Linked DNA regions of Cricetulus griseus. The protein of the gene in region 1 purifies or fractionates together with the protein of each later gene. This does not show direct contact. Links are inferred from orthologs where the notes say so. Each region holds a gene or a part of one and is shown in the gene's direction. Other genes may lie near its edges.

Region 1 (7,652 bases):
GTGTCCATGGGGGATTAATTACAGGGCAACCAGAAGATACCAAACTGTACAGATGTATTTGCATGGAACCTACACATGTACTAATGCATATTTTAATTCCTCTCTGAGTATTTACCTAATACAATGTAAATGCTATGCAAACTATTTTACTGTACTATTGAGGAAATTATGACAAGGGAGAAAGGTCTGTACCTGTCCAGGAGAAGCATACTTTTTTGTCTGCACTTGGCCAACTCCACAGAGGCAAAAGCAGAAGGCAAAATCCATCGTAAAATGTTACAGCTGATGACATGAAACCAGACCACTTAGCAGTTAGTTACACAAGCAAGGATGACCTCCCAAGTGCTGGCATGTGCCATCACACTTGGCCTTTTGTCCCAGGCTTCAGCCTCCTGAATAGTGGGGTTATAGGTATGAGCGATCACACCTGGTTGCTTTGTTCCCTTTTTATTGAGCTCATTTATTAGGTGGTGATATCAAAGCTCAGAGAAGTCCAATAACTATGTAAGATTGTTGTATCTTGTCTTTGGTACGCAGGGCCTGTCTGTCTTCCTCGCATCACCATTGATCTTGATGTCTTCATTTATCCCCTGCTTCTCAAGGGAATTTCTGTCTCTTCTAGATACCAGGCACTTGCATTTAGGACTGTCAGCCTCCTTGAGCCTACTTAAAGCAAAGGCAAAATCCCTATGTCCTAGGTGGCCAAGGGTTCAAATAGGATGACTGTGGTATGCTGCCTAATGTTCCTCCAACTCCAGGGCCCTGTGCCTTGCTTCTGGGGGACTGCGATTATTTTCCTGCCAGAGAATAGCAGGGGTGATCCATCTTACCGGGAGTGTCTCCTTTTCCAGCTTGACACTTTTTAGATACACTTAAAGGGCCAGAAGCATTAGGGGCCTAGTAAGCTTCTTTGAACCAAGTAGGCTTAACTCTGGAACTTCCTGTGTCCCTGTCATGTTGGGGACCTGCCCCCAGCGAGGTATGTATATAAATGGACACATGATGGGTGCATGTGAGTTGTGTTTCTATACATATGCTTGCAGATATCTGTGTAAATGCTTGCTCATCTGCATGTGGGAGCAGACCAGAAACATACATGTAACCATGTGTATTCATGTGTTTTCTCACTGGATACTTCTTTGGGTTGGACTCTGAAGGTTGGAATGGGGACAAAGCCAGGTTGCTGGTGGATCCCCCTGTGCTGGAACCAACTTTTCATGTGGTCTTCCTGACCCTTGGGGTGAGCTTAGTCCATGACGATTCCAGATCTTTCATAGTATGTGTCCCAGCATGTAAATTCCCAAAGCTGTTAGCAAGAAGAGAAAGGGAGGGAAACCAAGGTCAAGGGATACTTGATGTCGCCAAGAATGATAAAAGACTTGTCATAGAGGGTTAGCTTTATTTTTTTTCTTTCTAAACAGGGTCTTGCTATGTAGCCCTGGCTGGCCTGGATCTCTTGATGAAGCCCAGGCTGGCTTCAAACTTGTACTTATCCTCTTGCCTCTGTCTTCCAAGTGCTGGAATTACAGGTGTGAGTCATTGCACTTAGCAAGACTATGAAACCCAGGGCTTCCTACCTTCTAAGCAAGCATTTGTCTAGCATGTTTGAGGTCCTAGGTTCGATCACTGGGACTTCGGAAATGTAAAGTGAATTAAATGAGTAAGAAAAAGAAATAGTGTGGAGGATTTGCCTCAGGGCTGCTGCTGGCATAGTGAAGGGACAGGCTTCTCCGTCGTCTTCTCCTTCTTCTTCTTTTTTAAAACAGGGAGGGTCTCATTCTATAGCACCAAATGTCTTGGAAATCACCCCTGTAGACCAGGCTGGCCTCAAACTCAGACATCTACCTGCCTCTGCCTCCCAAGTGCTGGAATTAAAGGCGTGCACCACCATGCATGGCTAGGGCCTGAGGTTCTAATTCCAATATGGCAAAAAATACCAAAACTAACCAACCAAAGTATCACAAACAAATACCCCCCTAAAGGATATAGGGGGCCCTGTCCCAGCTCTGTTCCCCAGCAGCCTATGGCTCTCCCAAAGGAAGACACCAATAGGAGTTTCTTGACTCTTCTGTTGGGCAGGTTGTTTTTCCTCTGCTCTTGGCTTGGTAGTGTTTGATTTTTTTTTTTTTGTTTTAATTTATACTGAGGATTACATACACAGGCCGTCATAAGACTTTGGGCCCAGAGCTCTTTTTTTGTTTGTTTGTTTTTTGAGACAGGGTTTCTCTGTGGCTTTGGAGGCTGTTGTCCTGGAACTAGCTCTTGTAGACCAGGCTGGTCTTGAACTCACAGAGATCCTTTGCCTCTGTCTCCTGAGTGCTGGGATTAAAGGCGTGCGCTACCAATGCCCGGCTGGGCTCAGAGCTCTTAAAAGTTACTATCCCTGTGAGCATCTGCTGTATCTGCTGTTGTTAGGAGCTTGGTCACCAACCCTAGCTTCCAGGACACACACACACACACACACACACACACACACACCTGCTCGCTCAGACTCAGGGTAGAGAAAAGAGGCCTGTAAACAGTCTCTGAAAATAGAAGAGGCCCATAATTGGCAATGCTGCCTGAGGTCTTTTTGTGGGGGCTCTCTGCTGTGATAATATCTCCTTTGGACAAGACATCTATTGACTACCGTTCTAAATTTAGGTCCTGAGGGCTGGCAGGCAGTATTTACAAATCATTGGCTTTGAAACTGAACTATTTAGGTCTGAATCGGGTAATTTACTAAGTGTAAGGCCTGCGGGCAATTCCTCAAACTCCCTTAGCCTCCATTTCCTTGTCTGTAAAGTGGGTATAAAGATAGTGCCTGTGTAATGAGGCTGTGGTGAGGAGTAACTCATGGGAGGCCTGCAAATAACATTGTAGCAATGAGTCTGGCATGTGGCAACACTCCATTAAATGACAGTGTCACTGCACACCATCATTATTAGATTGTGCCAAGGAATGCTGAGTAGAAGCAGCTGGTGGAGGAGGAAGAGGTGACCTAATGGCCATGAGGAGTCACATGTGTGGATCTTGGCCTGGAGGGGCTGCGGGGCATAAGCGCGGTCCTTACCTCTTGCTATGTAGAGTGCCATACTCCTGGGCCTTTGATGGCAGACTGTGGGAAGTGGGCCCTCCCCCACCCTGCCACCCTTCTGCTTCTCTTCCCTTGCTCTGAAAAGAGAAGTACAAGTGAGTTCCCCCAAGGGGTCGGCCGCGCCCCTTCCTGTCTCCGCCCTGCTGGCTGCCCCAGGCCAGTAGAGTGGTAGCCTGGTAGCAGGACAGCAGGTTGGGGTTGTAGGAGGCTTAGGCTCCGAGAGCCTTGCTTGAGGCTCAACCCTAGAGTTTTCCCACCTGCCCAGACAGGCTGTTCCCTCCACCTTCTCCGCAGCCAATTCAGCAAGAGCCCCAGGATGGTGAGGTAAGGGCCTGGGGCCCATGGGAGGTAGAAAGGAAGGGTGGCCTGGCGCCCGGGGCACGTTACCTCACCACCCTGTACACCTTCAGGTGGTTTCATCGGGACCTCAGTGGGCCTGATGCCGAGACCCTGCTCAAGGGCCGGGGAGTCCCTGGGAGCTTCCTGGCTCGGCCCAGTCGCAAGAACCAGGGTGACTTCTCCCTCTCAGTCAGGTGAGTGGCCCTCCCGGCGATTTGGCAGCTCATGGCTTGGGTCCTGAGCATTCTTCTGTTCCCTGGGTTGCATTGCCTTCTCATGTTGTCTTGCAGCGGTGTCCCTGCCTGCAGCCCTAGTGTGTCCCCATAACCGTCTGCGTCTACCCCAGTCCTGTGTGCTTTTGCATTCGGGCCCCTTGGCCTGTCCCCCACTCCACTTCTGCTCCTGTACCTGGGGCCTCACTCCCTGGTGCCTTGCAGGGTAGATGACCAGGTGACCCATATTCGGATTCAGAACTCGGGGGACTTCTATGACCTGTACGGAGGGGAGAAGTTTGCAACATTGACGGAGCTGGTGGAGTATTACACTCAGCAGCAGGGCATCCTTCAGGACCGAGATGGCACGATCATCCACCTCAAGTACCCACTGAACTGCTCGGACCCCACCAGCGAGAGGTGAGCCGCGCGCATTGCAGGCTGGCCCGCTCCCTTGAGATCAGTGTAAAGGAGAGGAGCACCCAGCCCAAGTGACCTGCTCAGTCCGTTCCTCATGCCTACTCTGCCACCCCTGTTCTATCTCAGAGCCCTAGCCGCTTTCCTCTCTACCTGATGAGTCCCTTAACTAACCCATCCCCTGTCCCCTGAGGAAGCAAGAGAAGGGCTCCCCTTGCCTTTCTGTAGGGTTCCTGCTGTCTAGCAACCTAGTCCAGAGAGTGACAGTGAGGCCACTCCTTGTGGCTGGTGTTTCCCATCAGGTTGGCCCTATTGCTAGAAAGCTCTTCCTTCTATGGAACTCTGTTGCCTTCCCTCAGCTCTCCACAGTCTGGGCCTTTTAGGTCCCCATGTTAGGAAGGTCTTAGGGATCCCTGTTATTGGGATACTTAGGGCTTTATCTCAACAACACAGTGAGGATGGGGTTGCAGAGCTTGGGTGAAGCAAGGTCATTGATATGGTCACAGGTATAGAGGGGTAAGGACCCAGGCTTACCCGGCTCCAGGAAACACTTGGGATATCCCTCACCAGAGCTGCAAGGACATGGCCCCCATAACTTGGCTGGCTGTTCTTGGGTGGTCTCCCCAGAGCACTTGCAAGGAGAGGCATATAAATAGATGTCCTTCATTACACAGTAACTCATCTTAGCTGTACAGCATAGTGACTGACACAGCTCCTATTGAGGTAAAGGGCATGGAATAACACTAGGGGGTTCTTTCTCATGGACTTCTGGGGCCACGCATACCAACTTGTTCTGGGTTTGTGTATTTACTGTTGAAATGATTCTGAACCTTGACCCCCACCCCCGACTCCAGACCCTCTGCTGGGGCCTGAACTCTGGACCTTGTGCTTATCGGGTATGTGCTTTGCCACTGAGCCACTTCCCAGTGGTTTGTAGTCTTTTTTGAGATTTGTGCCTACAGACTTAGCTCAATATTTTTGTTCAAGTCACCTATTAAAACTTGGAACTGGAGGCCTAAGGTCTGTGGATCAGTTGGCAAAGTGCTTGCATTAAGCCCTGGGTTTGATTCTCTGTATTGCATAAACCTTGAGTGGTGACATATGTCTGCAATCCCAGGAGGAGGCAGGAAGACCACAAGTTCAAATTCGTCCTCAACTACATAGCACTTTTGAGGCTAGCCTGGGCTACGAAACCCTTGACTTAAAAAACTGAAACAAACAAACAAACAAAGGTAGAACTTGAATGATTGGGGTAAAAGCCCCTGTGGTTCACCTCTGGAGATCCCTTTCCAGCCAACACGAAGAGGCTGGTCTACACTTCCTTGAAGGCTTTTCTCCTCTGGTGGTGGATGGAAAGGAAGGGCATGCCTCATGCTCTCTCCTTCCCCCTCCTACCTGCAACACTTAAGGTGGTTTGGCCTCTTGGATGCTCTTTTACCTCCTTGTCTCCCCTTGTTGCTGTCAAGCCAGGATCTGCTGTGTTAGAGGACACGGACTGTGGAGGCATAGCAGAATTGTAGCTGGTATGTTCACTGTGATAGGGGAGGAGGGGGGAGCTGACGGGTGTCAGGGAAGCAGGGTAGGACAGACAGGGGAAGCATGCAACACTACATGGGTGACAGACCACTGAGGGGTTTGGATGACTCCAAGAGGCACTTTGGATGACCCAGAAGCTCAGTTTCATCCCTAACTCTAGGGTGTGCGGAAGCCATGGCCCAATACTCCTTGTGTCCTTGCCCTGCCTCTTCTGGGAAATTTGCATTTGTCCCCTCAGTGGTGAACTCTGCCTGTGGTCAGTTCACATTTGCATGGAGACTTCCTCATCCTGTCCCTGAGGGAAGGAGCTGAGCCCCCTCACATTGCTTGGGGGCCCTGGGCTGTCTCCGAGATAGGCTGGGGTAGCCCAGGACATCTGGGTTGGGGTAGGAGCCTCTGAAGGGCCCTGAGCTATGGTGTCCTCTGGGCAGAGTTGAGAAGGATCAGGACTGAGCCCCACTCTCCCCACCCCAATCCTTGCGGTTGGAAAATGCTGCCCCCCCCTCTGTCCCTAAGCTGAAGAAACCTCACCACCTCACTTCTCACTCTCTCCCCAGAAGGAGTTTTGTATTTTTTCCATCACGTGGTTTCCTGTGAGGCTAGGCATTGTGGGGCTACAGTTTCCTCCTGGGAAGGGGCGCTTCACGGAAAGGTCCTTAGTTCTGCTTTCTGCCCTACAGCCCCTCTGAGCCCTTCACTCACACCATCCTGGGCTCCCCGGAACCCTGAGACTACCCTCTCAGTCAAGTGTTTGTGTCCCCACATCACTCCGGAGTTTACCATTGGTCCTTCCCGACTTCTGTCACCTCAACCACTGCCTTCTGTGCTTTGGGTCCATCTACATTTTACTGTCCCTCCTTTAACCCAGTCCAAGTCTGCATTTCATGGGGATGAGTCTTTTTGTCCCTCCAAATGTTCTGGGTTTTACTTGCCTGTTCATTGTAAACACTCAGAAGAGGCTCTGGATTTTTGTTAGAACATCCCCCTTCCCTCCCTTCTCCCTTGATTTCAGTGCTGGGGATGGAACCCAGGGTCTTCCATTCCCACTGAGCTATAGCCCCAGTCTCCATGGTGTGAACTCTGTGGAGCCTTTTCGCTTATCAGTTTAGGACCTAGGACCAGTGTGCAAGTGCTTGACCTCCATTTTCTTATTGTAAAGTTGGGGAAATGGCAATCTCTCAGCTTTTGTTTTGTTTCATTGTTTAAAAGATTTTTGTTATAGAACTTATGTGTCTTAGTGTGTGCAGAGAGATCAGAAGACAACCTATCAGAGTTGGTTCTCTCCCTCTACCATGTGGGTCCTGGGGATCGAACTTGGGTTGTGGGCTTGATAGCAAAAATTCTTACCCTCAGCCATCTCACTTTTTTCTTTCTCACATCTTTTCTTTCTTTTTCCCTCCCTCTCTCCCTCCCTCCCTCCCTTTCTTCCTTCCTTCCTTCCAACTCACTTTGCAGACCAGGCTGGCCTCAAACTCACAGAGATCTGCCTGCCAAGTGCTGGGACTAAAGGCGTGAGCCACCACTGCCCAGCTCTGCTGTTTCTTTTTTTGAGACAGAATTTTACTCTGTAGCTCAGGTTAGCTTGGAACTAACTCATTATGTAGACCAGGCTAGCCTCAAACTTACAGTTATCCTCTTATCTCTGCCAACCCAGGGCTGGAGTTACAGGTTATGTGTCACCACGCCTGGCTGTTTGTTTTGGAGATAGGATCTTTTTTTTTTTTTTAAAGATTTTATTTATTTATTATGTATACAACATTCTGTTTCCATGTATATCTGCACACCAGAAGAGGGCACCAGATCTCATAACGGATGGTTGTGAGCCACCATGTGGTTGCTGGGAACTGAACTCAGGACCTCTGGAAGAGCATTCGGTGCTCTTAACCTCTGAGCCATCTCTCCAGGTCCCAGAGATAGGGTCTTACTTACTCTGTAGCTCAAGTTGGCCTGAAAGTTACCATGTAGAGCAGGCTGGCCTCATTGAGGCCATTCAGCCTCTTGAATGCTGGGATTATAAATGTGAGCTAGGGCTACATAGAGAAACACTATCTCCAAAAAAACAAACAAAATAA
Region 2 (7,687 bases), on another chromosome or scaffold:
TGTGTGATTTCCCCATTCGTGTCCTTTCTCGATTGCTTTTAAGATTGTTATTTTTTCCCAGAACTCTCTCAAATTTAGAGATACTTTTAGAAATTCGCCTGTGATGTGTCTTGGCATGATGCTGGAGACTTTTCTCATTTCAGGGGGTTTCCTGAGTAATGTGGGGATGTTGTTAAATCAAGAACATTTGCTACCATTATTTCTTCAAATACTCTTAGGCTCAGGTATCTGGCCACCTGGTCTCCAGTTGGTGGCACTGTGTAGGAAGGGTTATGGAACCTGGAAGAGGTGCAGCTTTGCTGGAGGAAGCATGCACCTCACTTGGGGTGGGCTTTGAGAATTCAGAGTCCCCTCCCACTTCCGGGTTGTTCTCTCTGGCTGAAGATGCCATGTCACAGTTTCCTGATTCAGCTGCCTGCTGCTGGGTCTCCTCCATCATTACAACCTCTCCCTCTGGTCCCTTAAGCCAAACCAAACTCTTCCTGAGTTGCGGGTCGTGGGGCTTTAACACTGCCATGAAAGTGACGAAAAAAAGTCAGTCACCTTCCCACCTCAGCCTGGAGATTGCAGGATGCCCCTTGAGCCATTTTTATAATTTGAAATTTCTATCAGATTGCTGTAGGAATCTAGCAGAGCCACTGTGTCCAGGGTAAGCATTAGAGTGAAGGGTTGCTTTTTAGAAGTACTTTGGCCTGGAAGCATCATTGTGGAACAGTGATTGTTTCCCGTGATTTACAGAATTATTTTTTTGAAGGGGTCTTGCAGCCTTCACAGGACTGTGGTCGCAAGACACCTCTGAGGCTCTTGGATTATTGTGAATTACAAATGGATAAAGAGTAAAGGACTAGAGTCATGAGGACATGACATGCTCTCCTTTAGAGAGACAGATAGGTTAGATTAGACCTAGGCATGCAGAAATACTTTACCCAAAAAGCAACTTTGTGTAACAATCAATAAAAAACAACTTTGTACGGCTGTTTGAGGTTCAGTCCATCATAGGTTGGACCTTCCTGCTGCCACACAGTCGTCTTGGAGGACTGGAGAGATGGCTCAGAGGTTAAGAGCATGGGCTGCTCTTCCGGAGGTCCTGAGTTCAATTCCCACCAACCACATGGTGGCTCACAACTGTCTGTAATGAGACATGCTGCCCTCTTCTGGCAGGCAATGTATTTCAGGCAGAGCACTGTATGCATAATAAATACTCTTAAAAAATTAATCTTGGAGTGACCTTTTTCTTCGACTAAATACTCTAACATCAGATAATTCTAACATCAGTGTTATCCTGATGCTGGCATCCGTAAAGTCTGAGATTTCCTTGTCTTGGTGTGGTGAGTAGCTTTCAGCCTTGTAAGCCTTGTAAGCATCTGAGATCACCCCCCTGCTGCTACAAAGAAGCAACATGTAGGCAGCCGCTTCCAAATCATCACACAGAGACTTAGTGTTATTTATAAATGCTTGGCCAATAGCTCAGGCTTGTTACTAGCTAACTCCTACATTTAAATTAATTTATTAATTTTATTATTTATTTATTTATTTATTATTAACTCTTACATTTACTATTAAATTATGTATTGCCACGTGGCTTTACTAGTCATCTAGCATCTCTCGCTCCCGCAGGGGCTGCAAGTAAAGAGTCTCCATCCAGCCTTCCCTCGTGCCTGAGGGCGAGGATGCCTCCTTATTGCAGGGCATGGGGAAAGCTCAGGACGCCATTAGGTACCTGCTAAAATCATCCAGTCTTAGTGAGAAAGATGTGTCTCAGGACTGGTGAAGGGGACCCCCCTACCCCCCCCCCCCCCCCCCACCGAGCACAGCAGAGGCTCCCTCACAGATGCCAGGTTAGGGACAAACCACACTCCAGCACCTGTTTTCACAGAGATCCGTTATTAATTGGGGATAAGAAGTTAAAGTGGCTGCTTTCTGACTCAGACAGAGAACAGCAGCGAGTGACCTTGCAGGTGTGATTTTTTTTTTTTAAAAAAAGATTTTACTTATTTATTTTTTATTATGTATACAGCATTCTGCCTGCAGGCCAGAAGAGGGCGCCAGATCTCATCACGGATGGCTGTGAGCCACCAGGTGGTTGCTGGGAATTGAACTCCGGACCTCTGGAAGAGCAGTCAGTGATCTTAACTTCTGAGCCATCTCTCCAGCCCCGCAGGTGTGATTTTTAAGAGAAGAAGGGGAGGGCTGTGTTAGAATGGGCTAGGAGGCAGTGGTAAAGGAGATAGGAGGAGGAGAAAGGAACCAGGGAAAGGGGGCAGGGATGTGTCCCAGAGGGATAAAGGACTGTCTCTGGATGGAGGAGACAGACACGTTACCAGGGCAAATGGCAGTTTATAAAGGTAAAAGGGGAAACCCCATGTTAGGATGAGGTATTTAATTTTAATTGGGCATATTTATTAGGTAGGCCAAAGGGGGCTTTTCCTTACTGGATTTCAATACTTTGATAGCTGGTCCTTGGTGGTCAGCCTCAGGAGGAGGAAGTGGCCAAATAAGGGAACAGACCTTGGTGACCAGCTTTCGGAATGTAATCTAACTTTTAGCAAGGCAGAGGGAACTGGGGAGAAGGGCAAGGCCTGCCAGAGACACGTGCTCGACTGGGCTAGAGTCCCCTCAGCTCTTCCTGCGTGGCTGCCAGTGTTACTGATACGTGGAGACCCGTGATAGTCCCGAGAGCGGGTACCAGCCCTGACTTCCTCTAGGCCTCTGACATCCTTCCAACAGGCCTGGCGGGGGAGAGGGGGAGTGGCTCACTGTGCTTGGGAGGACGATGGTCCCTATTGTGCTGAGGTCATCCCACTGGCAATAAAGGTCCCAGCTCCACACTCTGTCTTGTCTGGAGCCACTTGGAGAGTGTGGAGAGTATTCTCAAATCTTTGTTACAGCCTGGCAGGGGTGACAGTCTAGACCGGCCCAGGACCTTCTCCAGCGCAGACACAAATGAACAGGGTGATCTTGGACTTCTCTGTACTATTTGGCTGCCACACGGAAGTCGGCCGACGCAGAGCTCTGACTCTGAGGGTGTCCGTTTCTTTGTGTTTCAGCTGAAAAAGAAGGGTTTTGTTGGAACTGTTTTGTCCATGTGTTAGCCTCACCAGCATGTCGTGTGGTATCGGTAAGGTGGGGGGTGGGTACGGGTGTGACTCAGTTGGTACAGTGCTTGCCTAATGTGCAGGCAACCCTGGCCTCATGCCACAGTCCCTCATGAAAGCAGGGGTGAGGGCTCTGTCTCTATTCTCAGCACTGGGAGGTGCAGGCATAAGGATCAGAAATTCAAGGTGATCCTTGACTACATAGCAAGTTTGAGACTCTGTCAAAAAAGAAGCAAAGAGTGAGGGAATTAACTGTCATTCCTCGGAGCCCAGGCGTTCTCTCTCTCTCTCTCTCTCTCTCTCTCTCTCTCTCTCTCTCTCTCTCTTTCTTCCTTTTCCCCCCTTTGGTTTTTTTTTTCTTCATTTTTTTTTGTTTTGTTTTTTGAGACAGGGTTTCTCTGTGTAGCCCTGATTGTCCTAGAACTCACTCTGGAGACCAGGCTGGCCTCGAACTCCGAGATCCTCCTGCCTTTGCCTCTGAGTGCTGGGATTAAAGGTGTGCGCCACCACTGCCTGGCCAGGGCTCAGAGTTTCTAACTGGCATAAGCCTTCTCTCTGCTCCCCTTAGCCTTCCTGTGCTATTTATTTATTTATTTATTTATTTATTTATTTATTTATTTATTTATTTTTTACAAGGTCTGGGGGTTTGTAGTTGTAATTAACAGGACAAATAGGGAAAGGGCTAGTCAGTCTTCCACATCCTCCACGATGGAATCTATGGATTCAGCCAAACATTCATCAAAAACGTTGTTTGTCCCAGCACTCGGAAGGCAGAGGCCAGCCTGGTCAACAGAGTGAGACCCTGTCTCAAAAACTATAGTTAAGAGTCTAGCATGCATTGGGAGGGGCATATGAGGCCCCCACCCCTCCTGAAGGCTTCCTGCCTGTGAGCTATAAGGTGTGTACCACCATGCCCAGCTAGCCATTTCCCCCCCTTCAAACACAGCTCTGGTCAGGAATCAAATCCAGGTATTTGCCGTTGATTTGTGGAGTTTTCCCACCTTGTTATGCCCCTGCTATATTACTTCTTTTGAGGGGGTCAAAAGTACTGGGGGTTAAAAGTAGGTCCTCATACATGCTAGAGAAGTGTTCTACCACTGAGCCACACCCCAGGCCCTCACTGGGGGATTCTAGGCAGGGGCTCTACCACTGAACCACACTCCAGCCCCTCACTGGGGGATTCTAGGCAGGGGCTCTACCACTGAGCTACACCCCCAGCCCCTCACTGGGGGATTCTAGACAGGTAGAAGATTCTAATCTTCTATCACACTCTTAGGGTCCTTTTTTTGTTTGTTTGTTTCATTAAATTGGTGGGGCTGATCTTGAAGTTACTCTGTAACCCAGGCTGACCTTGAACTTTTGATCTTCCTGTTTCAACTTCCTGAGTAGTTTCCAAGACAGTCCTGCTGTTGCCCCCCCCCCCCCCCACCTTTCACTGTCTTCTGCAGTTCTTCTTAACCCTTTCAGATTCTGTCTGTGTGGCTAGCTACCCTCAGGCCATTCCCACGCCTGTGACACGTATGACATGTAGAGTTCATCATGCCATACGTTCATCATGCCTCCCTCCCCCGTAAAGCCTCCTGCTGAGCAGAGGGCATGAGGTCTTCAGGTCTTCACAGTTAACCCTGGAGAAACCAGGAATGTTAATCACTCAGGGCTGTCCTCTGTTTTCCACTCAGAAAACTAGTAGTGGATGTTATAATAACCCGGTGAGGCACACCTTACCCAAATCCCCCAGAATGTGTATCCCAAACTCTCCCTCCCTAGCTCCTAGTTAATCGATTCACCCATCCTTAGGAGAGCTGTCACACGTCCTTTATAACCTGCTGACCTCTATGCTGTCTCTGTCAGAGATCATACCAGATCCTAGGCCCCTACGCTATGGAACCCATCTTCACTGGCACGTGTGTTTGCGAAGACTTTATTGACTCTTTGCAGTTTGTTTTCTGACCATAACGCTTGTAGGAAGAGCACCCCTGGTCCCCACCACACCTGTGGCATTCATCTTTTCCCAACCAGCCATGACCTTGAAGACATTTTTCTGTAACACATTCCCTGCGCTTAGAAAACGGAGATCAGCTCTCCCTCCAATGCTCCCCGTCACCTGTAGGATTTGTACCGAGAGCGTGGTGGCTGCTGGAGAAGAATCGGTACAAGTGACTGGGATTCAGTCTCAAGACTTTCCCATTTATAGCGGGTAAAGGTGGTTGTGGGCTAGCTTAGCCACCGAGGTTTCACCCCTGGAACCCACATAAAGGTGGAAGGAGAGAGCTGACCACAAGTTGTCCTTTGACTTCTATATAAGCACTGACGAAAACACACATGTATACACACAACACACACACACGAGCACACATGTGCCAGCACATGGTCACAGATAAGTAAAAATCAAGAGCCAGCACTCAGGAGGCAGAGGCAGGTGGATCTCTGAGTTGGAGGCCAGCCTGGTCTCCAGAGCGAGTGCCAGGACAGCCAGGGCTGTTACACAGATAAACCCTGTCTCAAAAACCCCCAAATAAATAAATATCAAGCAGAAAAGACTCCCATACAGCAACCCTTCTTTCCCCAGAGCTCGCCCAGGGCCTGGTCCCCTGTTCCTGCCTTTGATGGTACTGCTAGTAACAAGATGATGTCGCCAAACTAAAGCCACCTTCAAGAAGACCTGATCCTTCCCAGCCAGCTGGGAGCAATCGTGAGCAAGGGTTTCACAGAGGGGCCTTGGGCAAACCTTGGCGACTCGTCAGACACGGATCCCACAAGCTAAGACGTGACTGCGTGACTGTGTGACTGTTCTCCACCATGGCCTCTTTCCCCCACTCGGATCTGCTGGTCTCAGAGCCACAGAGAGGAAGGGGGTGTGGCCAAGCTTGTGAGACTTCACTTACTTTTACTCTCAGAGGCTGCTAGGGACCCTGAAGAGCACACACACACACGTATGCACGCACAAGGAGACAGGTAAACACCATTTTGAACTTTTCTCTTGTTCTCAACAAGGAAATATGGTGCGGTTTCTGTGTGCTGGCCGTAGGACCTGCTGTTTTCTTCTATCTAACTTACCATAGGCACAGACAGACCCCTGTCTGTCAGCATCCCCTTTGCCAGGTTTTCTGGGTTCGCTGAGATGGAAGAAGCTGTTGGATGCCCAGGAGGGACTGGTGGGGCTGGGAAGCCAACCCCAAGGCTCTCAGCAGGTCTGAACTGAATGGATCTTAGGTCTGGACAGTGAGGCCCTATTCTAAGTTTCTGAATTTAGTAACTGTTGCTACCCTACTCTACTCCTACCAACTCACCCATCCATCCCAGGCTCAGGGCCCTGCTTCTTATGCTACGGTGACTGCTGGGATCCCGTGGGCACGCAGCTTTGCTCTGGAATTGCTCCCTTCCAGCCAAGCCTTGCTGAGGATGAAGCCAGAGGGGCACAGTGGTCCAGCACCTAGGGGCTGATGTGGCCACAACCCTTGTAGTGACCCGGAGGGTGTCACTAAGTGTGTCCCTCAGAACAGAGCTTGCAAGCTTGTGATGAAAAAAATTAAAACAGACTATGGCTTAGGAAGTAAAGGGAACTGCCTGTCCATACCATGTCTAGTGACATGTGTCGCACGCAGAGCTTGAGAGCCACTGTGAGAAGTAAAGCCTTCTGTTGAACTCGGCTTTCCCCGAGTGGCTTTGGAGGGTGTCACTGTGAGACACATTCCCTGCACCTGGAAAGCTGCGAGTAGCTCTGCCCCAGCCTCTGCCACCTCGCCTCTCACACACCCAGGCCAGGCCAACCCCCACACTGGGGACAGAAGCCAGCCTGCTTTCAGCCAGTGGACCAGCTTTCTCTATGCTTGCTCCTGATCCATCCAACAGCCATCCCCACCTGTGTCCTGCAGCCTGGGAGGGAGATGGCCCGAGAGGTGCTGATGCTGTGCCAGGTACAGGGCATGTTGGTAGGGAGGGTGGAAGGGACGCAGCTCTGCACCGACCCCGGAGACACACTAGGTTGGCACATCCTGTAAGATCCCTGGGGGCTGACACAGGTCACAGCCTCATGAATAGAGTTAAATTTAACTCTGTGTAAAGTGTAGGATGGTGATGATGGAGGGCCAGCCCATTGCAGAGGGAGAGAGAGAGAGAGAGAGAGAGAGAGAGAGAGAGAGAGAGAGAGAGAGAGAGATTGCATACTGGGTGTCCGTTGTAAATCCGTGGCCCCTAAATACACAGTTAACTTCCATCAGGCCAGCACTCTATATTTCAGTTGTTTAGTTTTCTTGAGACAGGCTCTGTCTTGGGAGGCCAGACTAGCACCAAACTTGAATTCTTAGATGCACACTCCTAAGTGCTGGATTTTAGGTGTACACCGCCATGGCTGGTCCTATGGATTGTTTATAAAACAAAACATTTCTCATGATTGTCTGCCTTCTTCCTTATGGTAAAAGAGTGGATGATGAGACAACAGGAGGTCCCTGGTAAAAACTGGCTGATGCTGTTAGAAAAGGAACATCTTTCCCTGTTTCCTATCAGCACCTGGGGCTCTGGAAGGGGTCCTTTGGACCATTCTCTGTTTTTAAGACTTTTTAACTCCCTCAAAATGTTTTTCTGATGTCAGA
Region 3 (7,630 bases), on another chromosome or scaffold:
TGTCCTCTTGATGTCAAATCTCAGACTGTGGACTTGAAATGCACAACTCTGACCTCGAAGTTCTTAAACCCTCAGTGTTGTTGACATGGGACTGTGGGGAAAACCGAGTTCCAGACTTGTGGGTGTTCAGCTTTGAAAGGTAACATGAACGCCAATATTGCAAAGACTTTCATACACACCCAGGAAGGGCAAGGATTGACCCTTCCTCATTCTGTTTCCCATCTGTAAAATGTAAGATCACTTAGAAGTCAATCAAGGGATAGCAGTGCTCCCGGACATCCCCAGGATCTGTCACATTGTATCCTCCAGGGGAGCTTTGACATAGACACTACAAGCTGGCCTAAGACTGAAGGGACTGCAGGATGTCATGAAGAGATAGTTCACCATCACCAAGATGGGGAAAAGGAGAGAAATCCAGACCACTCCTGATGAAGACCTCTGGGCCATTCAAGCCCAGATCCATCTCAGTGCCACTTTCTTGTTTCTTGGAGACAGCATGAGGGTCCCTGATGCTGTTTCCAGTGCACATTAGAAGCTAGGCTTGGGCATCTAACCTGACATCCAGGTCATGTTCACCTGTGTACTGGGGTTTTGGAAATGGAGACATTGTCTATGGTCCAGGGAATTCCTGCCAGTGTCCTTATAGTCACTCACTCTGACCACACCCACAGCTTTTGTGCCACAGATGCAGTGGCCCTAACTGTCCCCACCCATCCCTGACACCAGCTGCTCTGTGCCCTCCCACTCACTCTCACATGCCCCAAGGTCCCCAGGGAGTCACCAGTCCACTGCTAGTATCTGGGGGAGGCCCTGAGCCTGGAGGAAGGCTGGGCTGTTGGAAACTTTAGTCTAGCAGGGACCGTTAACAGCTGCTGCAGAGAACCCTTAAAACACAAACGAACCTCAAAAAGGAAATACTTGTAAAACGTGTTGGCTTGACCTGTGATGAATTTTCTGAAAGGGTTCGTCATTCCCTGCTGTGGCAAAAAAAAAAAAAAAAAAAAAAAAAGGCATCTCTCTGACAAAGACACTCACCTCCCACAACACCCCTAACAGGCCACAAAGTATAGGAGCTGTGCACATGCAAGCGCACACAGATGCTTCCTGCACCTGCCTCTTTTCAGACACTTTCCTCGGGTGACAGTGTGCTTGCTCTTCTGCCCCATGGGTCACTTTCTCTGGGGCAGGCAGGCTCTCCTGTGCTACTTTGAGAAAGCTCTCCCACCATCGCCTAGCCCTGCTATATACCACCAGTCACAAGAGTTGGTTGCATGTAGTGAGGAACTTTACCTCTCTTTCTTCCTCCCCACAGCTGCAGGACAGCTGGTGTGTGTGTGTGTGTGTGGGTGGGTGGTGGTGGTGGTGGGCGGATGTGGTTCAAAGGGGGTGGGTTTTTCTCACCTCCGTGCCTCATCCGGCTCCAGCTCATTCCAACCCCCAGCCATGAAGGCCTTTTGTGATTCCTTTAAGAGGCAACAATGTGGTAAAAGAATATTATATAGTCCCTCTGGGTACTGCGGCTCTAAGCCTCACCTTCCTGCCACTGTCAACTGGGCCCTCTTCACCTCTTCACCCACAACAACTTAGTAGGTTTGGTAGTCTCCTCTGCAAATGCCTCTTCTCTCCGTGTGACTGATTCTTTGTGTGTCTCTCTCTGTGTGTCTCTGTATCTCTCTGTCTCCCTGTCTCTGTCTCTGTCTCTCTGTCTCTGTCTCTCTCTCTCTGAGACAGGGTCTCATTACATAACCCTGGCCAGCCTGGAACTCATGGTGTAGACCAGGCTGGCCTCTGACTCACAGGAATATACCTGTGCCTGCCTCTGCCTCCTGATTTCTGAGTTTAAAGGTGTGTGCCACTACACTTGGCCAAGTGTCCTTTTTCTCTGGGGATGAGTATGGTGGACAATGTTTGGACTATATGCATGTCTACATGTTCTGGGAAGTAAGCCCAGATCATTATACTCCTAGTGTACCATTGAGCTACACCTCCAGCCCCTAGGACCGCTAAAAGAAAAAATTAACTATAACAATGGGACATTTCTTTGCCTCGCCGCTTCCTAGGAAGCCACAGCCACCACTTTCTTCTTTTTTAAGTTTTATTTTATATTATTTTTATATGTATGAGTGTTTTGCCTGAATGTATGTTTGTACCAGGCTGATGACTGAGGTGGTCAAAGAGAGTGTCAGATCTCCTAGAACTGGAATTACAGATGGTTGTGAACAGCCATGTGGGTGCTTCGAATCGAACCAGTACTCTTAACCACTGAGCTTTCTCTCCAGCCCACCACTTCCCTTCTTGAATCCCACACTCAGTTTCCTTTCCTCCCTCCCTAGGAGGTATGTAAGAACTATTGTTACTCCAGGCTAGCCCTTCAGCACAGCCCAGAGCTGCTCCTGAGCCCCTGCTGAGTGGACATTGATCCCTGATACTGCTCTGGTGTGGGAACACAGGGGATGCCAGAGGAGAGGATGTGTGAGAGAAGGAGACAGACCTGGTCACAGGTGTGTTCAGGTAGACAGCAGGAAAAAGCTGTACAATGGGGAGTCTGGGGTGCTCACAGAGGAAAACCAGCTTCTTCCTGCCTCCCTTGCATCCTCACATTCCCAAGAATGGTTTCTGGGTGACAGTTCAGCAAGCAGGAGGGGAGTCAGAAGCGCTCCATGCTAAATGGGGGACATGAACCTTATCTAAGCTACCAAATTAAGGAACCCTCCTGGTAAGCCATGGCCCTACTGGGCACCCTAGAATGAGGAGAAGCTAAGGCTCCATAATAGGAACCCCAAATCTAATGGTTGAGGATGAAGCTGCAACCTGGAGCAGTGATTGGTGCGTGCCCTGGGTCAGTTAAGAGAAGAGTCCCAAGTGTACACTGATCTCAGTGAATGGCAGCCCAGAGGGAGTGGACAACCGGAGAACACACCAGACTGGTGCGTGGATCTTAAGTACTGTGGAGGACAGAGTGGGTCTAGGATAGGTGGGGAAGGGCACTGGCTGGACACAGGTCCAGGCTAGCGTCAGTGTCTGTACTTTGGACCTTGGTAGCCCTCCTTGGTCTTCTGGCTTCAACCCAGGGACCTCTTCTGCTTCATTGAGTCCATCTGCCAGCCGCCTTCCTCTTTTGTGACTTGGGGTCACAGCACAAAGCACGGAGCATCACAGTCAGAGAGAACTCAATGTCTAAGAGAGGAGAGTGGCCCGTGGATTAGCTGGAAGACCTTGAGGCAGAGGTGCCCAAGGCCATGGCTGATGCCATCACCTATGCAGACCTGCGCTTTGTGAAAGTGCCCTTGAAGAACAGCATCTCTAACCACTTAGGACAGGGTAAGTCCTGCTTGCTGCCCCCCTTCATATTCCACCCTCATTCCACAGTCCCCATTGCAGACTCCTCCTACTTCGGACCTTCCTCTTCCAGACTGTGAGGCCTATGAGGATGGAGAACTCACCTATGAGAATGTGCAAGTGTCTCCGGTCCCAGGAGGACCATCAGGCTTGTCTTCCCCTGCACGAGTGGACAAAGCAGGTATGGAGGCCCCGGGAAGGGTGTGTTTATCTACGAAGGCTGTGTTTATCTGGCGAGTGTAGAGCAGTCTTGGAGAAAGCAGCAGGGCTGTACTTGAGAACAAGCTAAGAGTCAGGGGCAAGTTGAACGTCCTCGCGGTAAGCTGGGGGGAGGATCAGGGCAGCCGGGTGCGAGATGGGTGGGGAACAAGAGTGGGAAGAGATGTTGAAGGATGAGAAGTCACAGACAAGGGACCCCAAGGAAATGATACAGAGGTGATAAAGGGAGACCCAGGAGAGAGAGGAGGGATATGAGGTGTGGACAGGGCGACCCAAGAAGGGCTTCCGGAGAGAGGACTTCACTGCGTGGCATTTCTGGGGGCAAGCAGGAGGTGAGCAGGGACCACTCCCCCAAGCCCCGAAGGCCAAGGGACATGAGTCCTGGGGCAGCAGAGGAAGTCCCGAGAGTGACTGTCCCATAGCACTTAGTCCACGACAAAGGTCTCAGCATGGTGTGGGGCCGGGGGAAGGGAATTACGGGGACTTTCCACCCTCATTGGGACGTTCCCCTTCGGCAGGCGTCAGGTCAGAGCAGCCAACTGCGTCATGGAGCTCCGTGAAGTCGCCGGCTGGAGGGCGGATTCCCCGTTGTGTGTATCTCCCCCTCCCACCCCCGCAGCTCCAGCCTGCGTTCACCCGCAGCCCACCTGCGGGCAGCGGGCAGGGATGCCAGATGCCGCATGCGTGTGTGTCCTGGAGGGGTGGGGCTGGGTTCTGCCCTCCGCTGCTCTTTCTGGGACTTGAACGACAGCCCAGCCACTCCACCTCATCACCGGAGCGATTGTTCGATTGTTCGCACCTGCAGTCAATCCAGACCACAATTCCCCTGTTCCGATGGTCCCTAGTCACATGCCTCCAGGTCCCTTTCCCTGTATGAAGTTTAGTTCCTTCCGCCGGGTAATGCCCCCTTCAATCCGTTTCACCAGTTACAATCCCCAGCCCCTATTTCCTGACTGACAGAGCCCGCTTAGGAGCGATTTCCATTCTCTATGTGTCCCCACGTGGACACCCTTCCCCGGGACTGACTGTCCCTCATCTCTGTCCCCTAAGGTCCCACAGTCGGCTTGCAATACTTCTTGCTGGGCCTTCTCCTGGCCTGTCTGATGTTAGGGGTGGCTGCCATCTGCCTGGGAGTTCGCTGTGAGTATGGGTATCCCCATGCCCCTCTCCTTCTAAACATCTCCCCTTCTCTCTCCGCCCAACTCGCCTTTCATCAGGAAGGCTCAAAGACACTGTCCTGACACCCTTGGCTTTTGGGTCTGTCCTAGAATGCCCTGCCTTCCTAGGTTATCCTTACCCACTTCAGGAGTTCCTCAAACTGGGCAGACAGATCTTAAATTCAGCACATTATACAGGAAGTTACATAAGCAGAAAGGTTGATAATGCAATCTTAGAGCACCAGCAGGAGGAAGCGCTCTCAAGTCCCCCATCTGTGTCTTGCCCCCGCCCCCCCCCCCAGTTCTCCATTTGTATCCCAGGCTGGCCTGGGCACCTATCTCAGCCTTCCCTAGACAGGGATACAGGTGTGTGTTGCTACACCCAACCAGTGTCTTCCATGGCCAAACAGATCTGCAGGTGTCTCAGCAATTCCGGCAGGTAACCAGGATTTTGGAAGCCACCAACAGCACCTTGTGGCAGCAGCTCAGGCAGAAGACAGCTCAGCTGGGGCAGAAGGAGGTGGATCTGCAGGAGTCCCAGACAAAGCTGACCCTGAGTCAGAGCACTTTACAGGAGAAGCAGAAAATCCATGAAGCCACTGAGCAGCAACTACAAGCCTGTCAGTCTGAGGGACAGAGGACCAAGGAGAATTTGGAAAGGGAGGAGCAGAGGAGGAGGGACTTGAACCAGAGGCTGATCAAAGTTCAGGACACACTGAGGAGCCGCCTCTCTTGTTCTTCAGGTATCTTCTGGGAGGTTTCAGGGAGGTGGGGCAGACCGCCTGTGAGGGATGGACTGAATCCAGGAGTGTCTAGTGACTGGGTCTGCCTAGTTCTCAGCAGCCAGTGAGTTATTCAGGAAAGGGGCAGTGAGCCAGAGCAGTGGCTGACCTGGGTGGGCTATGCAACTTGGTTACTGAGAAGAACACTGGGTTTAGGGGGATGCACCCAGCTATATGGCAGATCATGGGGGCAGAGGCACAAAGAAATCTCCAGCAACCTACATCACATTGTCCAAATCTCTTTCTGACCCAGGGGGCATCTAGATGCTTCCACCAAGCTTAAGACAGCAAGATTGAATTTAATTTTATACTTATCTAGCTCTATATGCAACTTAAACTGTTAAGTCTCATATTTCTAAATTGCTATATATCTTTAAATGATGGTAAACATTTAAAGTCATAAAGGTCTAATTTAACTATACTTAAAATATAAGCTAGGTCCATACAACTTAAATTTAACTCATGTATCTTTAAATAATGATGAAAGTTTAAAATCACAAAGGTCTATTTCAAACTAACAAAATATTTATACCACTCAGTCCATCCTGTAAGCCGTTTACAAAGGTACAGCTTTTATTACAAAAAGGGATTTTTCTCTAACTAAAGGCAAACTTTTAACTGCTGAGATACTAAACAGACAGTCCTCAAATGCTCAGAGATCTAGAGAATATGGCATTTAAAATGTTTTGTTAAAAAGCTTTTTATAACAGAGAGACAGGCCAGCATAATGCCTGAACCTTTCACACGCCCCTAGCTCTCATCTTATGCCTCTGGTGTCTCTGTGTGCATGTGTGCATTCGTGAGTGTGTGCTCTTTCTCCGCTCCCCCGCCCCCCCCCCCACTCCCGTGTGTGTCGTTGGAGAATAGTTTTTGAGATAGGCTTTCTCCACTCAATGTAGAGCATGGCCAAGCTCAGCTCTACTTTTTCTATGGGTGCCAGGTATCTGAACTAAAGTCCTCATGCTTTTGTGGCAAACACATTTAACTACTGAGCCATCTCCTAGCCACTCTCCTTCACCTTATTTTCCATGACTCTCAGTCCCTTGCCAGTGCTGCCACCCATTCCCATATCTACACTTTAGACCTTCATGTCCCGTGGTGCCCATCTGTTCACAGCTTGGGTGTAGACATCTATTTCGATTGTAGCTACCCAGCCCTACAGGGTTCTCTACTCTCCTCCCACCTTCCCAAGGCATCCAGCCTGGGGAGTCCCAGTTTTCTTTCTTTCCCACAGCTATCTCTTATCCTCACTTCTCTCTCAATCCATCTTGGGTTCCAGAGCCTATTACCCAATCACCCACTCTTTTGTTTCCTGGTCCTGGTGCACTAGACTGATTGAAAACTCAATCCTGGATGAGCCCAGCTGACAATTTAGTATAGGCCTGCATCAGGTGTGATAAATTGTACCATTGATCAGCCTGGTGCCACTGAGGTTCTGCTCTGCAGTAGTCTGTCTGCTTTTCGCAGTGACTCCCTCTCCATCGTGCCTTTTCCATCATGTTCAGCAGGTACTGCCATTATCAACTCATCAGAACGATTCCACCTAGCCTACCTGTATTCCTCCTTTTTTTTTCATCTGTTCATTTTCATGTGTGTGTGTGTGTGTGTGTGTGTGTGTGTGTGTGTGTGTGTGTGTGTGTTTGTATGTGCGTATGTATGCATGTGTGTGTGTGTGCACAGTTTCTTTGACGCAAAGTTTCATCCTTGATTGCTCTTCTACTTTATTCACTGAGGCAGGATCTCTTGGTCAAACTCAGAGCTCATCAATATGGCAGCTTTCTGTGGGGATTCTTTGCTTTCCACGGCAGGTATGATAGGATGGCTACCACTCACTGGTGTCTTAGTTACTTTCTATTGCTGAGACAAAACACCAAGACCAAGGTAACGCAAACGAGTTTAATTGGGTTTGTGGATTCAGAGGGTTAGGATCCACGATGGCAGAGTGAAGGCATGATGGCAGGAACATCTGAGAGCTCACATCTTGCTCCTCAAGTGGGACACAGAGAGAACACATGGGAGTAGTAGAAGTCTTTTGAAACCTCACCACCTGCCTCCACTGACTCCTCTCCTTCCACAAGGCCACACCTCCTAGTCCTTCCCAAACAGTTCCACCAACTCGGGACCAAGCATTCA
Region 4 (7,161 bases), on another chromosome or scaffold:
AAAGATGAATATAGCTAATGTGCCAGCAGTCTAAGATAATCTCTGGCTGTACTTTATTACAGAGACAGTCAAGAGGCTTTCAGTGGCTGTGGCATGTAGATCAGAGATAGAGCACTGAGAGTCTGGGTTCGCTTCCCAGCACTGAAGAATAAAAGTCATTTGCTGCAGAGGTAGAGTGGACACAGCTTATTGAATGGTGGTTATTTACTACCACATTTTCCCTTACACATTTGCCCAACTGATGGCTTCTTTTTCATTTGGCTCCTCATATGAGTCGTATCCAGTTATTGTTTTGGGGTTAATATTTCTGAGTCATGTTTAAAATCTACTTATCAAACAAATTGTATTTTTCACTTCTCAAACCAAGTAGCATTCCATCATTGGAAGACGTGTTTATGTGCTTGCCTTCTTTCATATTGAAAAGTGATTACACTGATTGATTAAACATGACTACCCATGACTACCCCACAGAGCACCCGTGACACAGTCACTTTAAATGCCACTTAAAGTGTATATTTGCAGATCTAGGAATATCCAAACACCACATAAAGTTCAGAACCACTGCCCAAATACAAGTCATTGATGATGTCAACTAGCTTCTGGGGGTTATTAATGTCATTTCATTTCCAATGATTGAAAACATGTCATCAATCAATATATCTATAGTTAGATCAGCAACATATGTGCATCTGATTAGATTGGGTGTATTTGGGGTGGTGTAGCTGTAGATTGTTCTGCACATCTGTGCAGGTGTGTGAGACCCTGTGCTGTCAGTTAACCACCTGCTTCCAGTTGTTCACATAGGGGCCACGGTGTCACAGCACTGGCTATTTGCCCTGGCTGTTTGCTCATACTCTCTTCTTTCACACGGCCCCGTATTTGTTCACGTTCACTTATTTGCCCAACAAGGTCAATGCCAGCTGAGACCCTACGAGTCATCTGTTCTGAGTTGGTGTGAATTAGAAAGCCTGGGTGGCTGCCTGGTATTAATTAGTTATCTTTTTCTTTTGAGACAGTCTCACTCACTATATGGCCCAGGCTAGACTCAAACTTACAGTCCTCTTGTTTGGTCCATTTGAGTGCTGGGCTTCCTGGTGTGCACCACCAGGCTAGGCAGATCAGTTACTTTCCAAGCTGAGAGCTGGAAGATTTTGATGTCCCTTAGCATGGTGGGCAACTCCTCTTTTTCTCATGCTTTTAACATGCCTGGTAACACTTTACATTTAGATGACTGACACCTAGTTATCTTGCTGTGGTGTGACCTGTTAGAGACGTGTATATCTCATGATATCTTTCTGTGTTTTAGTTTTTTTAGGTAACATGTATCTTGTGTCTGGAGCTTTGTGTCTAGATGAGCTCAGAGCTTTGATTAATTAATCAGTTGAGAACCCCCCATTGTAGCTCATTAGAGTTACACTATTTTAAGTTTTGCTCAGAGGAAAAGTATATTAATATGCATGTATGCATGAACTTGAGAGATTTTTACTCTTCCTCAATTCATTTTCCTTCATCTAAACGCCCTGTCTTTATGAGCCACTACCGCAGCTTGATTACCAAAGGAAATCTGCTATACTGCCTGATAAAAGACAATGGGACAAAGGTCACAGTAGCTCCTGCCCCTTTTTTGGGGGGAGGTATGGAGATGAGCTGTATAGAGATCTCTCTAGGGAGTTTTCATTAATCAGCAATTTAGTCAGATGTGTACATCCTATGCTTTCCCAAGGGCCTGAGATCATCAGATGGTGGCTCACCGGGTTTCGATGTCCCATATCCTTTTGTAAGACCTTGAAGTTGGCAGTGCAGGAAAACAGGAACTCCACCCTAGCACTGTGAATTGCAGAACTGTTGTGTTGGTTTGTGACCATCTGCCCATTCTTCCTGTTATGACAGAGCTTGTGAACTTTTACTGGGAATGGGGCAAAGCAGATTCCACTTTTGTACGATGAATTGCTGAAGAGGTCTTTTAAAACTTGGAGTATGCATTGCTGATGGAAGGTGTTTCCTATGGGGTCCGACTCTTGTCTAATTTCTTTCTAGGTTTGCCAGATGATTCCCTCCATCCACCCAAGCTCAGCACACAAAAAGATGTACTTACAATTTTGGCCAATACAACCCTTCAGATTACTTGCAGGTAAGGGTTCGTTTTAGATTCAGATTTCCTGTGTGCAAGGACTCATTGTTTACTGAGGTCACAACATTTCCATTACTGCAGAATTATAATAGTATTGTTGTAATTGTTTATAAGTCATGAGGCTTCTAAGAACTCATGCAATAACGAAACAATGAGAAAGGTCTCTTCAAACTTTTGTACTGTTTTGACGGGCCTTTTCAACACGTACAAATGCATACTCACATATGCATTTGCACAACCATGCACACATGTACATGCGTGCCAAAAACTGACATGTGATAGACATTCATGACTATTGATGAATCAGTAAAGTTAAGGGCTTATCCTTGTGAAATAGAGTGGAAGTCTGAGCCATGTTCATGTCAGTTCGAATGACTTGTGAACATCTTTTTAGCCCTTTATAAGAACTGTGTTCTACAAATGAAATTCTGTCTGTAGTAGCAACTTAATCTCTAGCCAACAATATTCCTGACCATATGTCCTGCTCAAAACATGAACTGCATACTCTGGCTTGATATTCAGGCCCTCTTTCCCTCTTGCCCGCAAGTAGCCACGCTACTGATGCTGGATAAGCAGGGAAACAGAACTCTTAGACAAGAGGAGGCCTTTGAATTTTGCTTTTCAACCAAGAGTCAAGAAAGGAAACCTAGAGGAGGTATAGGTGGATATGGCACTCATTCATGAATGACTCAGAGGTCTCTGTAAATCAGTGTGGTTTTGAGTGCTGGTGCCACAAAGAGTCCTGGCAGCTTGTGGCCTTTGCATCCTATTTGAAGAATACCAAGTGGTCCACAGCATAACTCAGGTCTGTTTTAGATTGTTGCATGTGGAGAGACACTAGGCCTCTTATCTAAGGTCTGCAAAGTCTTCAATACCCAGCCTTTGGAGGGGGGGGGGGAACAAAAACAGAAAGCCATAGCAGGAGCTGTTTATCTTCGTAAGTCATGGCGTTTCCAGAGACTTTCCCTTCTACCTAGTCTCAGACACAAAGGTCACTTGAGATCTGCAAAGGTCCCCCTCCCTTTAAAGGAGACTTCAGAAACATTTCTTGTGTTCTGAGCAAACCCTGGAGAGAACAGGCACAGTCAATACTGTGATGTCATGGGAGTTTCAAGCTCTTTGAATGAAGGCTCAGTGGGCCACATTGTTTTATTCATATTGACTACCTTCCATTTGCTTTGTGGAGAAATGAAGCAATAAAAGTATTGTCTATTTAACTTTACCCTTTCAAGGAGGTACCAGGGCCCTCTTCTCTCGGTGCCCTCTCTTCTTCCTCCCTCACACCTACATGATGATTCTGGCTTCCCTGCTGTTTCCCCAACACTCCAGATGTGCACTGGTCTCTGTCCTTCACATTTACCGTTCCTACTTGAAATGCTGTTCCTCATCATGTGCATAGGGCCTGTTTGTTGCTTCTTTTATGTTTCTCTTCATAGCACTAAATTAACACCTTTTATACAATGACTTGTATGTCCTAGTTGTCTCTCCCCTAGTTAGAGTGAGCTTCCATAAAGGCACTGATTTATTTCTTCTTGGTGTACACTGGGAAAGTGCTCTAGCACTGAGCATCATATCTTTGGTCCCTTAAAGCATTAGTTTTTGTCCTTAATAATGGTCAGCAATTATATATACTTAAAAAAACATTCTTTCAGTTCATACTGAAAGAATGAATTGTGAACTAACAGAAAACACATGACCCCATGGGTGATTTCTGAAATAGAGTGTGTGATCTTTGGTGGCATGTCCATGCAGACTGTCATCAGTGTCTATCAACTTTGAAGTGTCTGTTGAGCATTTTATATGCTCATGAGAACCATACCTTCCGTTCTCTTATTCAGAGCCTCATGCCATGGGGTGTCACATTAATACCTTCCTGGAATACTTTTTTCAGGGGACAGAGGGACCTGGGTTGGCTTTGGCCCAACAATCATCATGGTTCTGAGGAAAGGGTGTCGGTGACTGAGTGCAGTGACAGCGTCTTCTGCAAGACACTCACAATTCCAAAAGTGGTGGCAAATGATACCGGAGCCTACAAGTGCTTCTATTGGGATGTCGACATGTCCTCCGTCATTTATGTCCATGTTCAAGGTAAGCAGTGGACAAGAATGTACTTCCCACATCCACTTACTAGGTCTAAAAAGCAACAGGCACAAGAAAAGTTAAGTCCAACAGGAGTCTTGATGGAAAGGCTGTTTGCCAAAAAGAATATAAAAATCTCCCTCCCAGACTTCTTTTAAGAAAGGACTCACTGACTGTCTGGGCTTTGGTCTGAGCTGCATTTGTCTTCTTTAGATAGGTCAGTCCTAGTCCCTTCTGTGTGGTGCTCTGAGATTCTCTGTGACCTGTCATGGGCTATAGGGACTCATAAAATGCCTTCTCTTGTTTGAGACCCTGAGATCTTAGAAATGGAGGGAGATTGGAAGTGGATTATAGAGAGGTTTCTGTGGTGAGATAGGTTATCTGTAGCAGGGAGGAGGTTTTTGCAGGAATGCATAGCGAAATAGCCAAGGACTCTGGAGGTTGTGTTTTTCCCCCTCCCCCATAAGATTTTTCCTTTCCAGACTCACACTTTATTAAAAAAAAATCCACATACCCATGTGCAAAGCACAACACCATCTCCAAAGAAGCCGTGGAGGACTGCATGTCCTGTCTTTGCTTGTGTGCTCTGAGAGGGCTTCAAGTTTGCCATCGACTCCAGGAAGATGCAGCCTAGAGACATGAAAGGTCGCTTCATAGTTAGAGCGAGTATTTTATTTTGAGGGGATGGTAGCTGTGTGAGCTTCCTTTGCATACTTCACCTTTGAGGGCTAATGATTTAGGACTGATTTACAGAAGACCTTTCATTTTACATTAAAGGATTAGCTTAGCTTTTGTCTCATGTGAAAGGGTTACTTTAGCACTGTAAGCAAGGCATGCAACTTAACATCTTTATAATAAAGACTACAAGGCAACATGTATTCGATTTCTAGAGCATGAATTATGATCTCTTTTGTATTTTAAAAACTGCACACCACCTTTTCTTGCAATAAACCCATCTTCACTTATGAGACACCTGTAATATTATGCACTTCTCAGGAATGTCAAGGTTTCATTATATATAAAGATTTATTTGTTTTCATTTTTGTGAATGCAAGTTTTGCATGTGTACTGTGTGCACGCCTGCTATCTGTGGAGGTCAGAAGAGGGCATTAGACCCCCACTGGAACTGGAGTTACAGAAGGCTCTGAGCCACCTTGGGTGATGGGAATTGAATGTACATGCTCAGCAGGAGCAGCCAGTGCTCCTAACAGCTGGACCATCTCTCCAAGTCTGGGTTGCAGACTCCCTATTTTATTTATTCATCTGTATCTAACCTTACATCTCAGAGGATTTGAGACCCGTGAAAATGACTTTGAAATTTTTTTTCTAGAATTAACTATTACCAGATAGAAAGGCTCTTCATCAGGACAGCACTCTTGCAGATATGACCGTCCATAAGATGTGACCTGTCCTTCAGTAAGGACAGTCTATGGAAGACTGTCCTAATGTCCTATGGTGCCCTGGGGGCATTCTTTTTGCCCAGGGTAAGCAAAGTCTAAGATGGAGTTCTGTGCCTTCCTCCTCACTCTGCAGAGCTGAGGGAGACAGACCTTGGGGAATGTCTGGCTCCTTTTGATCTGGCAGTCTTGGGAGATGTGGCTCTCTCAGAAGATTGCAAGGATTTCCTGCTCTCAGCCTGTCTGGAAATGCTACAAGATGAGCCTCTCCCACAATATCTCGTTACTTCCTTCTCCCCAAGTCAGGAAACCTGGAGACATGTAAAATTCATTTCTTGAGTTACAGTAAATATTTTATTTTGAGAGGATACGTGGTTGTTTAATGCTCCTTTGTTTACTTCCCCTTTAGGGCTACTGAAATAGAACCCATTTACCAAATAACTTTAGTCTTAAGTCAAGAGGTTAATTTGACTTCTCCAGACTCTGAATGAAGCACATCGTGTAATAGTCCATTAACATGTGCAATAGCAACAAGCGGTGGTCTCTAGCACTATTTGCCAGTATACTTGGTGCCTTTGGATACACCATGAAATTCTGTTTCCGCCTCAGCTTAGCATTCTATTTGATCATGAAGTTTAACAACAGGAAAGAAAGCTTTGAATGTATTATTCCCTATGGGTAGGTCCTTAATGTCCCCCTCTGGTCCCCACCTCACTTCCTCCGTCCTCTGACCCAACTAGCAGTGGATAGAGCCAGGAAGCTGGCGTTGGCCTCATAAGATAATGGCTATGGCATGTGGGGGGCGAAGCTAGCTGCATTTCTATGCTTTCCAGCTGGGGAGGAAATCAGATTTTTGCTGTTGAAAGGAATTAGCTACTCTTCTTCCCTTTGGCTTCATTAACTCTTTCTTCACCTCTGGAAAGGCTTGGTCAGATGCATGTGGGAGTGGGTGGGGGGTCGGAGCTGGGATGTTGATGTTATCTCTGAGATTTCAAGTGGTGACTCCAGACCATGTCCTCTGTCTCTGGGGAATGGAGTAAATTCCCAGCCATGTATTAATGCTGTGTGAATACTCTCTGAAGGATATCAAAATGACTCTGGCTTTTGGCTCAATCTTTTGGCATTATGGCTTTCCAAATATTCATTGTCAGAGATATATTAATAAGTTTTAAATCTTGAACTGGATGTAGTGGCTATTAAACATTATTGCATAAAGAGTCTTATTTTCAGTGCTCACAGTCTTAAGGTATTATTGAAATCATTCTTTTTGAATCACTGAATCATCTAATTATTGTGCACCTTTGTTTAAAATTTTCATTTTCTTTTCAGGTCATTTATATTATTTGCCTACTGAAAGAAATGAATATTTAGCATTGTAAAACTCATAGTTTCAATGTATGGATTTAAATTTAAAATGCTTATTTTATAAAAAAATTATAATAACCTATTAAAGCATGGCATTTCTAAAATAGATTCTACTTTTTAATGTTCCATGTAGAGAAGTTAAGCTCATTTTTGGAGTTTCCATTCAGATTACTTCTCTCTCTCTCTCTC

What was found.
Region 2: the proteins of Ptpn6 (region 1) and Cd22 purify together in Homo sapiens (affinity purification with western blotting; 5 studies listed by BioGRID and IntAct, with this or other methods). This does not show direct contact. The link is inferred for Cricetulus griseus from reciprocal best matches to the Homo sapiens genes PTPN6 and CD22.
Region 3: the proteins of Ptpn6 (region 1) and Cd72 purify together in Homo sapiens (affinity purification with western blotting; 3 studies listed by BioGRID). This does not show direct contact. The link is inferred for Cricetulus griseus from reciprocal best matches to the Homo sapiens genes PTPN6 and CD72.
Region 4: the proteins of Ptpn6 (region 1) and Kdr purify together in Homo sapiens (affinity purification with western blotting; 3 studies listed by BioGRID and IntAct, with this or other methods). This does not show direct contact. The link is inferred for Cricetulus griseus from reciprocal best matches to the Homo sapiens genes PTPN6 and KDR.

The regions. Positions count from the first base shown.
Region 1 is NC_048601.1:21,671,068-21,678,719, forward strand, and holds the start of Ptpn6 (tyrosine-protein phosphatase non-receptor type 6), read left to right. Parts: upstream 1-3,242; 5' UTR 3,243-3,392; coding exon 3,393-3,400; intron 3,401-3,486; coding exon 3,487-3,609; intron 3,610-3,852; coding exon 3,853-4,047; intron 4,048-7,652. UniProt on the Homo sapiens protein: Tyrosine phosphatase enzyme that plays important roles in controlling immune signaling pathways and fundamental physiological processes such as hematopoiesis.
Region 2 is NC_048602.1:4,898,530-4,906,216, forward strand, and holds the start of Cd22 (B-cell receptor CD22), read left to right. Parts: upstream 1-3,102; coding exon 3,103-3,118; intron 3,119-6,947; coding exon 6,948-7,012; intron 7,013-7,687. UniProt on the Homo sapiens protein: Most highly expressed siglec (sialic acid-binding immunoglobulin-like lectin) on B-cells that plays a role in various aspects of B-cell biology including differentiation, antigen presentation, and trafficking to bone marrow.
Region 3 is NC_048595.1:100,056,665-100,064,294, forward strand, and holds the start of Cd72 (B-cell differentiation antigen CD72), read left to right. Parts: upstream 1-3,050; 5' UTR 3,051-3,239; coding exon 3,240-3,321; intron 3,322-3,412; coding exon 3,413-3,520; intron 3,521-4,076; coding exon 4,077-4,148; intron 4,149-4,608; coding exon 4,609-4,698; intron 4,699-5,125; coding exon 5,126-5,458; intron 5,459-7,630. UniProt on the Homo sapiens protein: Co-receptor of B cell receptor (BCR) that plays both positive and negative roles on B-cell functions. Recognizes the Sm/ribonucleoprotein (RNP) self-antigen ligand, and coligation of CD72 and BCR inhibits BCR signaling.
Region 4 is NW_023276807.1:142,443,890-142,451,050, reverse strand, and holds part of Kdr (vascular endothelial growth factor receptor 2), read left to right. Parts: intron 1-2,037; coding exon 2,038-2,131; intron 2,132-4,022; coding exon 4,023-4,219; intron 4,220-7,161. UniProt on the Homo sapiens protein: Tyrosine-protein kinase that acts as a cell-surface receptor for VEGFA, VEGFC and VEGFD. Plays an essential role in the regulation of angiogenesis, vascular development, vascular permeability, and embryonic hematopoiesis.